Schizosaccharomyces pombe: one gene and its partners. Changing the gene in region 2 together with the main gene of any one other region gives a genetic interaction. Each region holds a gene or a part of one and is shown on either strand. Other genes may lie near its edges.

Evidence for each region. A genetic interaction does not mean that the proteins touch.
Region 1: mutations in shf1 (region 2) and tif452 together harm fitness less than expected from each alone (positive genetic interaction), as found in Schizosaccharomyces pombe (one large-scale study listed by BioGRID).
Region 3: mutations in shf1 (region 2) and rdl2 together harm fitness less than expected from each alone (positive genetic interaction), as found in Schizosaccharomyces pombe (one large-scale study listed by BioGRID).

The regions. Positions count from the first base shown.
Region 1 is NC_003423.3:1,132,407-1,136,184, reverse strand, and holds tif452 (translation initiation factor eIF4E, 4F complex E subunit isoform 2, stress response factor), read right to left. Parts: upstream 1,792-3,778; 5' UTR 1,687-1,791; coding exon 1,210-1,686; exon of another isoform or gene 1,120-1,209; coding exon 980-1,119; exon of another isoform or gene 923-979; coding exon 808-922; 3' UTR 566-807; downstream 1-565. Other genes in the region: met7 (putative folylpolyglutamate synthase), read right to left, coding at 2,143-3,444, 3,754-3,778. UniProt on the Schizosaccharomyces pombe protein: Recognizes and binds the 7-methylguanosine-containing mRNA cap during an early step in the initiation of protein synthesis and facilitates ribosome binding by inducing the unwinding of the mRNAs secondary structures.
Region 2 is NC_003424.3:4,807,481-4,813,322, forward strand, and holds shf1 (histone H2B-K119 ubiquitin ligase complex (HULC) subunit Shf1), read right to left. Parts: upstream 3,929-5,842; 5' UTR 3,788-3,928; coding exon 3,290-3,787; 3' UTR 3,006-3,289; downstream 1-3,005. Other genes in the region: phosphoinositide phospholipase C Plc1, read left to right, coding at 306-3,005; CCR4-Not complex subunit Caf16, read left to right, coding at 4,619-4,742, 4,822-4,941, 4,987-5,585; formin Fus1, read right to left, coding at 5,745-5,842. UniProt on the Schizosaccharomyces pombe protein: Component of the histone H2B ubiquitin ligase complex (HULC) which plays a role in transcription regulation by catalyzing the monoubiquitination of histone H2B to form H2BK123ub1.
Region 3 is NC_003424.3:3,838,095-3,841,034, reverse strand, and holds rdl2 (thiosulfate sulfurtransferase Rdl2), read left to right. Parts: upstream 1-1,564; 5' UTR 1,565-1,654; coding exon 1,655-1,753; exon of another isoform or gene 1,754-1,877; coding exon 1,878-1,929; exon of another isoform or gene 1,930-1,978; coding exon 1,979-2,198; exon of another isoform or gene 2,199-2,264; coding exon 2,265-2,322; 3' UTR 2,323-2,375; downstream 2,376-2,940.

The DNA of each region.
Region 1 (3,778 bases), on a different chromosome or scaffold from region 2:
TCATTTCATCTTTGCTAATTGCTGATTAACCAAATGATGAAGTTAGTGCTGAGCTTTATTTGTTTAAAAAACTTTGAGTATAAGCGAAGCGATAGATTTGGAATTGAAGTGGTGCACTGATACTCGACAATATTCCGTACAGTACATTGAAAAGTCTGATTGTAGATACTTCTTCACCAGATATCTAATTCTAAGCATACAGAAGTTGCAAGTAAATTTCCCCACTTTTCCCAGTACTCATTAAGCGCTGCATTAATTCGATTAAAAGGGCTATCTTCTTAATTAATGTTATCCGATTTCGACAATGATAAGAAGAAATGAAGGTCGCCTATTATTTCGAAATTTTAGTTTGATTCAAACATTCATGGATCCTTAGCGATAAAGGTTAGTTCCAACATTACATTAGATCCTCGGAAATAGTAAAATCATAGTAGACATTATTCAGCTTGAAATAAGCTAGCGATAAATGTTTAATATACAGGCGGTTATGAATAATAGGAAGATTTGGCGATCTAGCATATTTACATTCTTGATAGAATTTTAATATTTATAACGTAAGAGAAGGGTCAAATATAGATTATATCCATTAGCCTATTAAAATGCTCAACAAATATAACAAATTAAACTATTCATACGAATACACTAACTGTAAAGAGGCATCTATCTCATCTCAATAAGCTTGGTATTTTAGAGGTCTCAAAAACAAGAGGGCAATGATTGCAATAACATATTGTCATTCGTAAATGAACACCCCTATAATTTACCAAGCCTTAGAAAGTAAAAATAAAAACTTGAAACTTGATATCATTAAAGACTCATACGGGTTTTTGCTCGCATACTACCAGCCTTTGATGAATCCTCATGAGCACTATATTCTATAGTCTCTTTATCAGAAATCCCTAAAACTTCTTTAAAGCGCAGGCTACATGTTTGTTAGTCCAGTCAACTACCAACACGTTACTCTTAAAACTTCACATACCCGATTTTTTCCAAAACATCTTTGTCATTACAATTTCGTGTCCATACAGCGATTCTATAGAATCCTTTCCTCATATTGCAAACTACACCAGTAACTTCTTTCCCAGTAGGGTCTAATGTTTCTCCAATGGCTGCCAGCACCTATTTCCATACGTTAATACTTTCAACTTAAAAATTAACATTCTGTAAAGTCGATATCACAGCAGTTAAAATGAACAGACCATGACTTACCATATACAGCCACAACTCGTCGAGATTTGAACCTTTGTGCTTGCTTTGGTAGGCCCATTTCCCACCATTCATGTTTTGAGGATCCTCCCATTCAGGACGAATACCTTTCAAAAAGTAAGAGTAGTCCGATTTGGCGGGAAGCATCGAAGCTTTTGAGATCGTCTTAAAGATGCCCCAAAACTCTTCCACTGTCTTGAAGGAAATAATCTCTTTAAGAAGATCACTCCATTCAAGACCTTGTGTAGGTGGTTTCAAAAACCACAATGTCCATTCATGCTGAAGGGGGTGTGTTTTTACAAATGCAGTTTCAGCATTAACAGCCGATAGACCTTCAAGAAGGCGCGCTGGACGTCCCTCTCTTTCAGTTTTAACTTTTGGTGACCCAAATAAATCCAATAGATCTAGTTTTTCTGTGATTAAGGAAGTGTTGGGAAAACCCTCATTTTTTGAGTGACGCGAGTCTTCTGCATCTGCCATTTGCTTTTTTTAAAAAAACAAAAATATTAAAAGAGCTTAAAACGTTTTTATAATAGGCAGTTTGTAAACTAGGCTGGATGCTGAAAAGATGCGGTGGTCGTAATTGGGTTACGAGATCCAAGCAAAAGCAACTTTCAACACACTGTTCCTGTAAAATATAATTGTACATTCATACCTTAAATATTGGCTAAGTATATATAAAAAGTCAATAATCAGCCTTAAAGCTTTACAGTAAATTATTTGTTTGATTGGAAATGCACGAGTATAATCAAATTTCACACAGCTTTTTATCTGCATACTATTATAATTCGTGAAATCAAATTTGTTCCCCTTACGTGTCAAATTGTTAAAAATCATTTTGTAATTACAAAGATGCATAAAGCTATGTTGTATATCTAAGAATCATTTAAATCTCAAAAACAATGTTGCAAAATGTAGAACCTTTCTCCATTTCAATCAAAAAACAGCTTGATCTAGTACTACAAAAACACCACCAGTTAAATGCAGACTTCCGGTGACACAAACAAAAGTATTCCTGGATTTTTGCTTAATTGACATCACTGTCTCAATAGCTTCTTGGATGGTAGGGGCTACTGTTGCTTCACTAGTCGTGCCCTTCGATTCTTTCCACCATTTACATAAATCCTCTTGTACATGCAAAACGGGCTTATTATCAGTAATGGTATTAATGCTTAACAGCTCTGGATTATAGCCTGCATCCTTCCAGGTGACATTGGTTGAGAATATAACATGCGTAAACGAAATCCCAGTTCCCGAGCTTTCCAATCCTTTTAAGAAGGACCTAAGTAAAGCAATTGGATCATCCCTGCTTTGCTGGTTAAACAGAAGAATACGGGCATCTGCATCCTCATAAAGATTCTTCTTGGATGCGAGCCAAAGTCCAGTGGCCTCCAAACTTTCCTTGGTGTGGGCTCCATCAAAACACCATTTTATGTTGTTGATTTCCTCAATTTGGCATCTTCCAGGCCATTTTACATACTTGAGGCCGTCCAAAATTGCTGGATCCTGATATGGATCTCTATCAAAAGGGCACCCGGCCTTTTCATAGAATTCTTGGACTAAAGAAACTGCAAGGGATGTATTTCCAAGCTGATGAACTCCTGAAAGACCAATCATATCCGGCGTTAATTCAGCAGGAGGTATGACTACCTTAAGTGATGTATTTCGTTCAGCAGCACGGTTTTTTAAAACATTCATAGCCTCGGGAGCTTGCTCGCAAGTTAAGGCAATAGCTGATTCTTTGTAGATTCCAGCTTTCTGCCAAGCAATTTCTGCTATTGTGTTCCCCAACAAAGACGTGTGGTCAAGACCTAAGCTTGTAACTGCTGTGGCATATGGTTTTTCAATTAAGTTTGTAGAATCGTATTCACCACCAATCCCAACTTCAATGATAGCGGCATCGACATTCTCTGAAATGAAAACGTGCCATGCCATTAGTGTCAAGAATCGGAAATACATTGGCTTTTCCGAATCACTACCGACAGCATTCTCTAGGCGCTCCCATACATCAAAAAAATATTTAGTAAACAACTCTTGACTGATAGGTTTGCCATTTAATTGAATACGTTCACAGACAGATCGGAGGTGAGGAGAAGTGTACATACCAATGCATTTTGGAATCGACCTTTCTCCACTCTTCTGTATTTGCTGTAATATTGAGGATGTAAATGCACATGTAGAACCCTTTCCTTTAGTTCCAGCAACATGGATGACATTTAGTCGGTTCAAATCTGATGGCTGAGATTTATTAGTTAGTAAAAGTTGCATGACAGTATAGAACTATTAACAAAAAGATTTCGTAAAGAGATACAGGCTAAACCAGCCAAGTCAACAATTCCTATTGATATTTCCCTTTATAGACATGATGTGCTGTCCTTTCAATGAGATTATTATTATTAAAAATAAGGTGAAGTTAAAGAAAGGATCACAATCGAGTACTATAAAGGACATACAAATACTTGTTTCAATCTCGTTTAATCATATGCAGCGGCTTAAAATATTTGAGTGCTATTCTTTTGTAATTCCTAATTATAAGTAGTAACTTACCTGATATCCAATGCATCTAAGCCAA
Region 2 (5,842 bases):
ATTAAACCAAAGCGCGCTTGCCACTAACGTTAACAAAAGTCTCGGATGTAAGCTCCTACGATATAAGAGGTAAAAGTTCCGAAAACAACTAATTTTTGTCCCTATAATAATATCAGGCTTACTTGATTTAAAGTGGTGGATTGAATCTATGCTCATATGCAATTTTGAGTGCTATCCACTTATCTTTATTGACACATACACGGCGTATTGTTGCTGAATGAAAACCGAAAAACCGAAGAACTTTTAAATATCAACATAATGATCAAAAAGCCAATGGCGGTGTAAATCCTTAAATAGATATCATAATGAATTGTGAAATGGTAACGTCGCCTGAATCGGTCAACTTAGGAGACTCCAACAGAGCAGTAAGTCCATTTTGCCTGCCCGATTGCTCAGAAAACGCAGTTGCTCAGACGAGGAGTAAAACCTTAGATAATGCTGCTTTGGATCTCCCATATGTTGGCAATAGGAAGAAATCGGAGCAGGATTTCTTTAAGATGCTATCATCAAGGGATCGCGATGCTCATAGTACTCTACGTAAACGATCAAATTCTTTATCTTCTTTTCTGAGTACGAAATCGACATCAGCTTCAGAAAATAAATTCCATGGAGGATTGAATTGGCTTTCTCTGAAGTTAAATCTTTTGCTACGCTTGCAAGGTCGAATGAATTCTGCGAGAACAAATACTTCAATGAACCCTTACTCATGCGATAGTAACGAAAACTTATCTACTCTGAGCTCGGTGAATCAAAACTTTAATTCTCGACAGCTATTAGCTACTATAGTCCCTGAATCTATTCAAAACGGATGCTCTTTACTTCGTATAACCAAGAAAAAGGTGCGCCAACGTAAAGTCTCTTTAGACCCTATATCTGGATATCTTATGCTGGACAAGAATACTGGTAAAGCTTATAAGAAGCTTTGTGTTGATGACATTAAAGAAATTCGACAGGGCCGCGATGCTCGTAATTATAGAGAACAGTACAAAATTTCTTCTGAGAACGAGAAACGCTGGTTCACAATTATATATTGTGCTGATAATAAATTAAAGGCTATGCATATGATATCTCCAACTTTAGATGCGCATAATCAATGGATTATGGCTTTAGAAGGTCTAAAAACTTATCGATTGAATGAATTTATTATTGGACTTAATCTCGTTTGCCATCAAGGTGAAAAAATGATAGATTATTCAGAGAATTTAAATCCCTGGGAAAAGTTAGAAAAGGAGCAAAGTGCACAGTTGGATCTAGGAGACGTGCATCGCATGTGCCAAATGCTACATTTGAATGCATCAATGGAGTTTTTAGAAGAAACATTTCAAAAGGCAGATGCTGATCATTCTGGAAAGCTAAGTTTTGAAGAATTTCAGCATTTTGTAAGCCTTTTAAAAACAAGATCCGAGATTGTAGATATTTTTAAAGAATATACATCTGGCTCTGACAAGATGTCTTTGGAACAGTTTCGTCACTTTCTATCAACTTCTCAAAAGGCTCGTTTGGATAGTGACTCAATTAGGACTTTGTATGTCTCTTTTTGCTCAAATGATGATTCAAAAATGGGTTTGATAGAATTTACTTCCTTTCTACTTTCTCCTCATAATTCTCCAGTAGTTCCTGTGATACAAGATATGTCGCGACCACTGAATGAATACTTAATTTCTTCGTCGCATAACACTTATTTACTAGGTAAGCAGTTTGGTGGAGAAAGTTCAATTGAAGGTTATATCCGTTCGCTACAGCGTGGCTGCAAGTGTATTGAAATCGATTGCTGGGATGGACCGAATGGTCCTGTAGTTTGTCATGGACATACATTTACTTCTATGATAAAATTTAATGATGTTATTGATGCTATACGAAAATATGCTTTCGTCGTTTCACCTTATCCATTATTCATTTCTTTGGAAATTCATTGCTGCCCTGACCAACAACGTCAAATGGTTAGTTACATGAAACAAGCATTTGGGGATACTTTGGTGATGAAACCCGTTACCGCTAACGAATCAGTTCTTCCTTCACCCGAAGATTTACTGAACAAAATTTTGCTGAAAGTCAAATGTTCAGCAACACCATTGCACCAATTTTCGACAGACATACTGAAGGTTGGGATAACTGATTCTTCGACTGATACTACCGAATCATCGGAGCTAGAAAATTCAGAATTAACAGGGTTAAGGAAAGGTAAAAGACGGATGAAAAATATCATTGTGCAGGAATTGCAACAGCTTGCACCTTATGCCCGATCATTGAAATTTCGAAATTTTTCTTTACCGGAATCAAAAACGTATAGCCACATATTCTCATTTTCGGAAAGGACTATAAAAAAGCATGGAAAAGCTATGGTTCCAAGACTTAGCAAACATAATTTACGCTATTTGTGTCGTGTATACCCTGGCCCATTGAGAGTAGGAAGTACAAATTTTAATCCTCAGGTGTATTGGCGCCTGGGTGTGCAAATGGTTGCTCTAAACTGGCAAACTTATGATACAGGTCTTCAAATAAATGATGCTTTGTTTATAGCTGATCCTCCGACTGGGTACTTGTTAAAGCCACCTTGTCAACGAATAATTGGTACAACAGTTGGCGAAGAAGGACTTCCTCGTAAAATAAAATTAACAATAGATGTCATATCTGGGCAACAACTTAGAAGAGCTAGAGAACTTTCTAATTCTGAAACTCTCAGCCCTTATGTTGAGATCCAAGTTCATTCAATGGAAGAATCTCCTTTTCGTTGGTGTTCCAAAGTTGTGCACGAAAATGGATTTCGACCTTTTTGGGGAGAAACCATGGTTTATGAGAGTATAATTAGTGATGACTTTTATTCCATGATCCGATTTCTCGTCCATCATCGAGGAAGTAATGGAAATGACTCTATATTTGCTAATTTTACTTGTCCGATTGACAGACTGCAACAAGGCTATAGACATATTCGTTTATTGGATATGCAAGGCGAAAATTTGTTATTTTCGAGTTTGTTTTTGAAAATTAAAAAAGAAGACATTTAGAACGCTGTGTCCATTACAGCACTTTCACCGTAATGAAACTTCAGAAAATCTAAAATGCATATTATACGTTAAAAGGGAGAGAACCGAAGTAGTCTGAGAATGTTTAGAGTGTATGAAGCGTTTTTTTATTTTTATTTTTTTTTTTTAAAAAAAAAAACGCTATACAAAAACATTCATGTTTATAAATATGGGTTTGGGATAAAACTTTCAATAAAAAGTCATAATAATATCCACAAAGCGGAAGCTCAATGATTTGTACGCAGACGATGATTGCAATAATTTATTTAGAAGCTGACATTATTTACAAAATCGTTTAAGCTTTTTACAGCTGCATCACTACGTAGACCTTCTCGGTATATATCCGTTCTAATTTTTTCCCAAAAATGTACTTGTTGAGCGTATTGTTGTTCGACATTCAATAAACTCTGGGATGAATTCTCGCACGCAGACTTGCAGCTTTGAAGTTTACTTGACAAACTCGAGTCTGGAAGATTAATCTTCGGCAATTCTACATTCGTATCCGTAGAAGCTGCCCCAAAAGACGCTCTTGTTGAATTATTGCTAGGGACTCTATAATGATAGGGAGAATTGTGTTCCTTGGAATTTGTAGATGAAGAGGGTGAATCATAACTAGATCTGGGTGTTTTTGTTCTTTGATGGTAGGATTGTCGGCTCCTATAACTAGATTCATAAAAACTGTTTTGATCAACGTTTGATTTCAAAGGACTACGATACTGGTGGTCGTTTCCATCATAGTGGTAGTCATTTCTTCTGCTGCTCATTAAAGTGAATAATTAAGTGCTGATATTAATGGTTCTTTTTTTTCACGAAAAATGTACACTATCTAATTAAAACAATTGGTTAAAGAACCGAAAAATAGTAATACTTAATTCAATTAAAATCACGGTGTGAGAAAACGGTTTGAGGTAAGACTATTTTACGTACCGCGTTATATAAAGCCCTTCGCCCATATCGATGTTTGTTTGTTGTTTAATATATTAAGTCTAATGATATGGGCAATACTACGTTGAAAAGCTAAAATCGTTTAGCAGGAATGAAATAATATTATATTTATATTTTTTTATTTGAGAAATGTCCGCCTGCTGTTAAAAAATTCCATGCGAATGTTAGGTTTGTCTGTTGTCTTAAACGAAATGGGGTGACCTTAGGAAAGTATTATTACTTAGTTTTAAGCCAAATAATATGTAGCATAAATTGTAGTTGATTACAAATGTTATCTGCTTCTATCTCCTATATATATTGTTTGCCAATTGTTCCATCGATGTTAATCATTTTTCTTTCCAAGACTCCGCAGGATGTGTGTTCAAGGTCTTAATAGCATCTCCAAATATGGGCAGCATTACTTAATAGTTAAAAAAGGTTCTTTACAAAGACTTGGAAAGCTAATTTATTAGTACGAGGTCTTGCTTATAACAACTTTACTGCATTCCCTCCACACTTTACTTGATACACAGATGTACTAAACACAATCCAGCTAACCCACAAAGTTTGAGTGTTATTTAATTTGCGCCTTTTTTTGGATCCTTTATATATTGTAAAACTAAGTTCTTAGATAATTATATTTTACTACTGTTAAAACATTCTATTTCAAAATGGAAGTAACTGTTTCAAACCTCTCTTACACGTTTTCTCCAAAGCAGCCTTTAAGTCTTGATCACGTAACTTTAGATCTTCCTAAAGGATCAAGGACTTTACTTGTTGGAGCCAATGGAGCTGGTAAGTTTCGCGGTGTTATGGAAATTGATGAAGAATATTTAAATGCTAACTGATGTCCTCTTGGAATTTTGTTAAACAGGAAAATCAACTTTACTTAAACTTTTATCTGGAAAATCGCTTGCGAAAGCAGGACATATATCGGTGGGTGGTAAAGATCCTTTTCGTGAGTCTAGTTCTGCATTTGTTTATTTAGGAACTGGTAAGTTCTTTTAACATCAAATTTTACTGATGTGTGCGTTTGTAGAATGGGTTAACAACCCTGTTATACATAGGGATATGAGTGTTGCACGATTAATTGCTTCTGTTGGAGGAGATAAATTTGCCGAACGTAGGGATTTCTTGATTTCAATTCTTGATATAGATCTTCGTTGGCGAATGCATGCAGTGTCCGATGGTGAAAGACGACGTGTTCAACTATGTATGGGACTTCTGCGTCCATTTGAAGTACTTTTACTTGATGAAGTAACTGTAGATTTGGATGTTCTTGCCCGGGCAGATTTGTTAAATTTTTTGCAAGAGGAAACGGAAGTAAGGAATGCTACTATTGTTTATGCAACACATATATTTGATGGTTTAGCTGAGTGGCCAACTCACTTGGTCCATCTCAGTCTTGGGCGTATCGTGGATTATGGACCAATATCCAAGTTTGGTGCTCTGATGACAAGGTCCTCTACGGGAAATAGCGCCCTTCTAGAGACATGTTTGGAATGGCTCAAAGAAGACAAAAAAAATAGGGGAACTCGAGAAGAGGAAAAGCGTAGTACCTGGGACGACGTTCAAGAATCATTAAAAGTTGGAACTGATGTATTTACTGATTACTTTAAGATTTCCCGAGCAAAATAGATTACTAGAAAAGTTATCCTTTAGATGCTTAATTCTATCTTTAACAAGCATTACAGTCTTACTAGAATTAATAATTATACCTTTTATTAATTATAATTTCATTATAATTTGTTTAAGTCATTTAATTGTCATTAAAAGTCATTAACATTTCAAACATCATTATCTCTTAAGTTCATTGTTATTCTCCAGCTGCTTAAGCATGCATTCAGCTTTAAGGACGACTGTTTGTCTCTTTTTATTTGAGCCTTCTAGAGTTT
Region 3 (2,940 bases), 970 kb from region 2:
TATGATATCCCCTCTTTATCAGTGATGTTTTCGGGTATCGCAATTATGAAGTAAGTCATTCTTCATAATATTTGATTTCGATGGAAAAAAAGCGCAAAAAAAAAAGAGGAAGAAAATATTAACTAAATCAAAACAGTACGTAATTGGTATTCACAGTTGGATTAAAAGTCTGCTTAAGGAAATTAGCTATTAGCACTAGTTAGCTATGATCAACCGCCGACTGTTGTATTCGGTACCGAGCGACAAGGTTGGTACAATAAGGGACTAAGTGAATGAATGAAATTAATGAAAGCGAATGAATAAGGTAAATATTAATTTAATGGGTGAATTGTAAATAAATTATATTGAGTATTCGAGTGAAACAGATGAACTGTATCGAATTAACCGTTCATATATTTGTCCATAAAAGATTGTAAACCAGAGAGGTATCTTAAACACTGAATCTTACTGACCTTCATTTTTACAAGTTTTTATTTTCCTTCATCCATTGCAATCATTCATTTCGGATGATTGAATTGGAAAACATTGCCAATATGATTATTTAGGTTCATTATTTTATATATTTATTTATTGGCATAAAATTTTTACTACTAGTTTTTCTGCCGCTAAAAGAAACAATAATTTATTCTAGATATAAATTTCTTTTTTTATTTTTTATATTTTAATGGACGCATGTGAATCACTTTTCCATTTGAAATTTCAATTTTCAATAATATGCTGCTACCTTAGAACTTGCAATATTAAAATTGATGCGAAATCTTAGTAAACGTAATATCATGTGCAATACAATCAAAAGTGATTTGAACTGTGACCTAATATCAAAGGTGGACTTACAACCTGTTTTCTAATTGTACTGGCAAATTTAAACATCATGCTTACGTTAAACCTAGCGTTTCTCCATTGCGAGAATATCAGCACTCATAAAAATTTGTGTACTGTGATTTTTTTCCTATTACATTAGCATTGAAGCATGCCATGACATTACAGTACAGTGCATTTCAGGCCCGACGAGAAAAAATAAATAAATAAACTTACGTATACATCTATATAAATCAGCGTCGTATGAATTCCTGTTTTCTCCTAATGATAAAACAAACAACTGTAGCTCAATTGAAAATTAGAGTGCTTGTTTCTGTCAGTGTATTTCCAACAAACATAATTTTATGAATAACAAATTATCCATAAAATGCTTTTTGGTAAATCCATATGCTACCTCCATATAGTAATATACACAATTAAAGATCCGCAATTTTAAAGAACTGTGCCAAAGACGTACGTACAGTTCTATTCTATGAACTTATATACTGAATATGTAATTGTTTAAAAGTGAAACATAGAAAATGCGGCAACTTCATTTTTCCCGATGGATGAATCGCTCTTTTCTTGAATAGTAACTTTAAAAACTACCGTTTTAAAAAAGAAAAATATTATTGAAAAATCTCGAAAATACAAAGATCCATTTCATTTATTGATTCCTCTGAACACAAGCCCCTATAACACTTCAAACCTGCCGATTTCGTAATAGCGATCGTTCATATAATCATACTACTCACCGATCACGCTTATACCACTACCGTCAACTGTGGGAATCTGAGATTTAACCTGCCTGCTGAAAGGGGCCATCTAGCTGTAATAAACCTTGTTTTCACCCATAATGTTTTCTAAAACTCTTTCCGTATCTCGCCTCCTGATGACCCGCTCTTTCTACAGTTCTACAGTAGTTAAGAATGTCAGCATCTTTGATTTCGAAAAGGTAAACCAACATAGGAATACGTTTGCTTTCATATGCGATGTTTTCTGGTTAAAGCTAAGTTTTACACTTCGCTACTCTACTCTCCAAGTATTTTGGAATTATTAACGGTACTAACTTGAAATAGGTTTATAACCTTAGTAAAAGACCAACTGGCGACAAATCCACCGTTTTAATTGGTAAGGACAATACAATAGTGAGTTAAAACTTATTCTGCTAACATGTCAGACGTTCGTGAGCCCGATGAATTTAAGCAAGGTGCAATCGAAACTTCTTATAATTTACCTGTTGGAAAAATCGAGGAAGCCATGAAACTTAGTGACGAGGAGTTTTCCAAGACTTATGGATTCAGCAAACCCGTTTTTGAGGACAACGTTGTAGTTTACTGTCGCTCTGGTAGAAGAAGTACGACCGCTTCTGACATTCTCACCAAACTCGGCTATAAAAAGTATGTTTGTATAGGTGAACAATTCCACTTAATTTCGAGAACAGTGTTCAAAAACTAACCTTTTAGTATTGGAAACTACACTGGCTCATGGCTTGAGTGGTCCGACAAAATTAAGTCTAAGTGAGGGTAGACTCGAACGCTTTCCAGCCTTCTCACCCATTACGTTACCTTTTAGTTTTATATGTAGTTTAAGTTTCTAGAGTTGAATGCATGCATCGTATGCTTGCTCACCATTTTTAGATGATAAGTAAGGTGTACTTAGAAAACAAAAACAATTTTACTGCAATGTAACAATAAGGTGAATTGAACTATGATAAGTTACTTACTCAAGCGATTTATTCCTTCGCATTTCTATTGTCAAAGACTTCGACGAAAGGGTAAAGCTGTAAATACATTGGAAGCTATTAATATGGGAAAATATATTTTGAGACAGTCATTGTAGTTAATTCCGGGTTTAGAAAGAACACCTCCAAATTCAATTAAACTAGGGAATACAGTTCAAGCACGTGTTAAAGATAACTCTAAGAAATTAGTTTTCGAACAACCAGGTGGAATTAAAATTGATGGGTTTTTGACATTTAAAGGCTTGAAGAATACTATTCATACCTTGCCGGTTTGCTCAAAACGCGAATAACATTTTTTTCTTTTGCACTGAATGTTACAATCTCAATTACAAGTATGATTAGAAAGGAGACCTTTGAACTGACTGTCCCCTAAATTTCTAATGTAGAATTTTTACTTT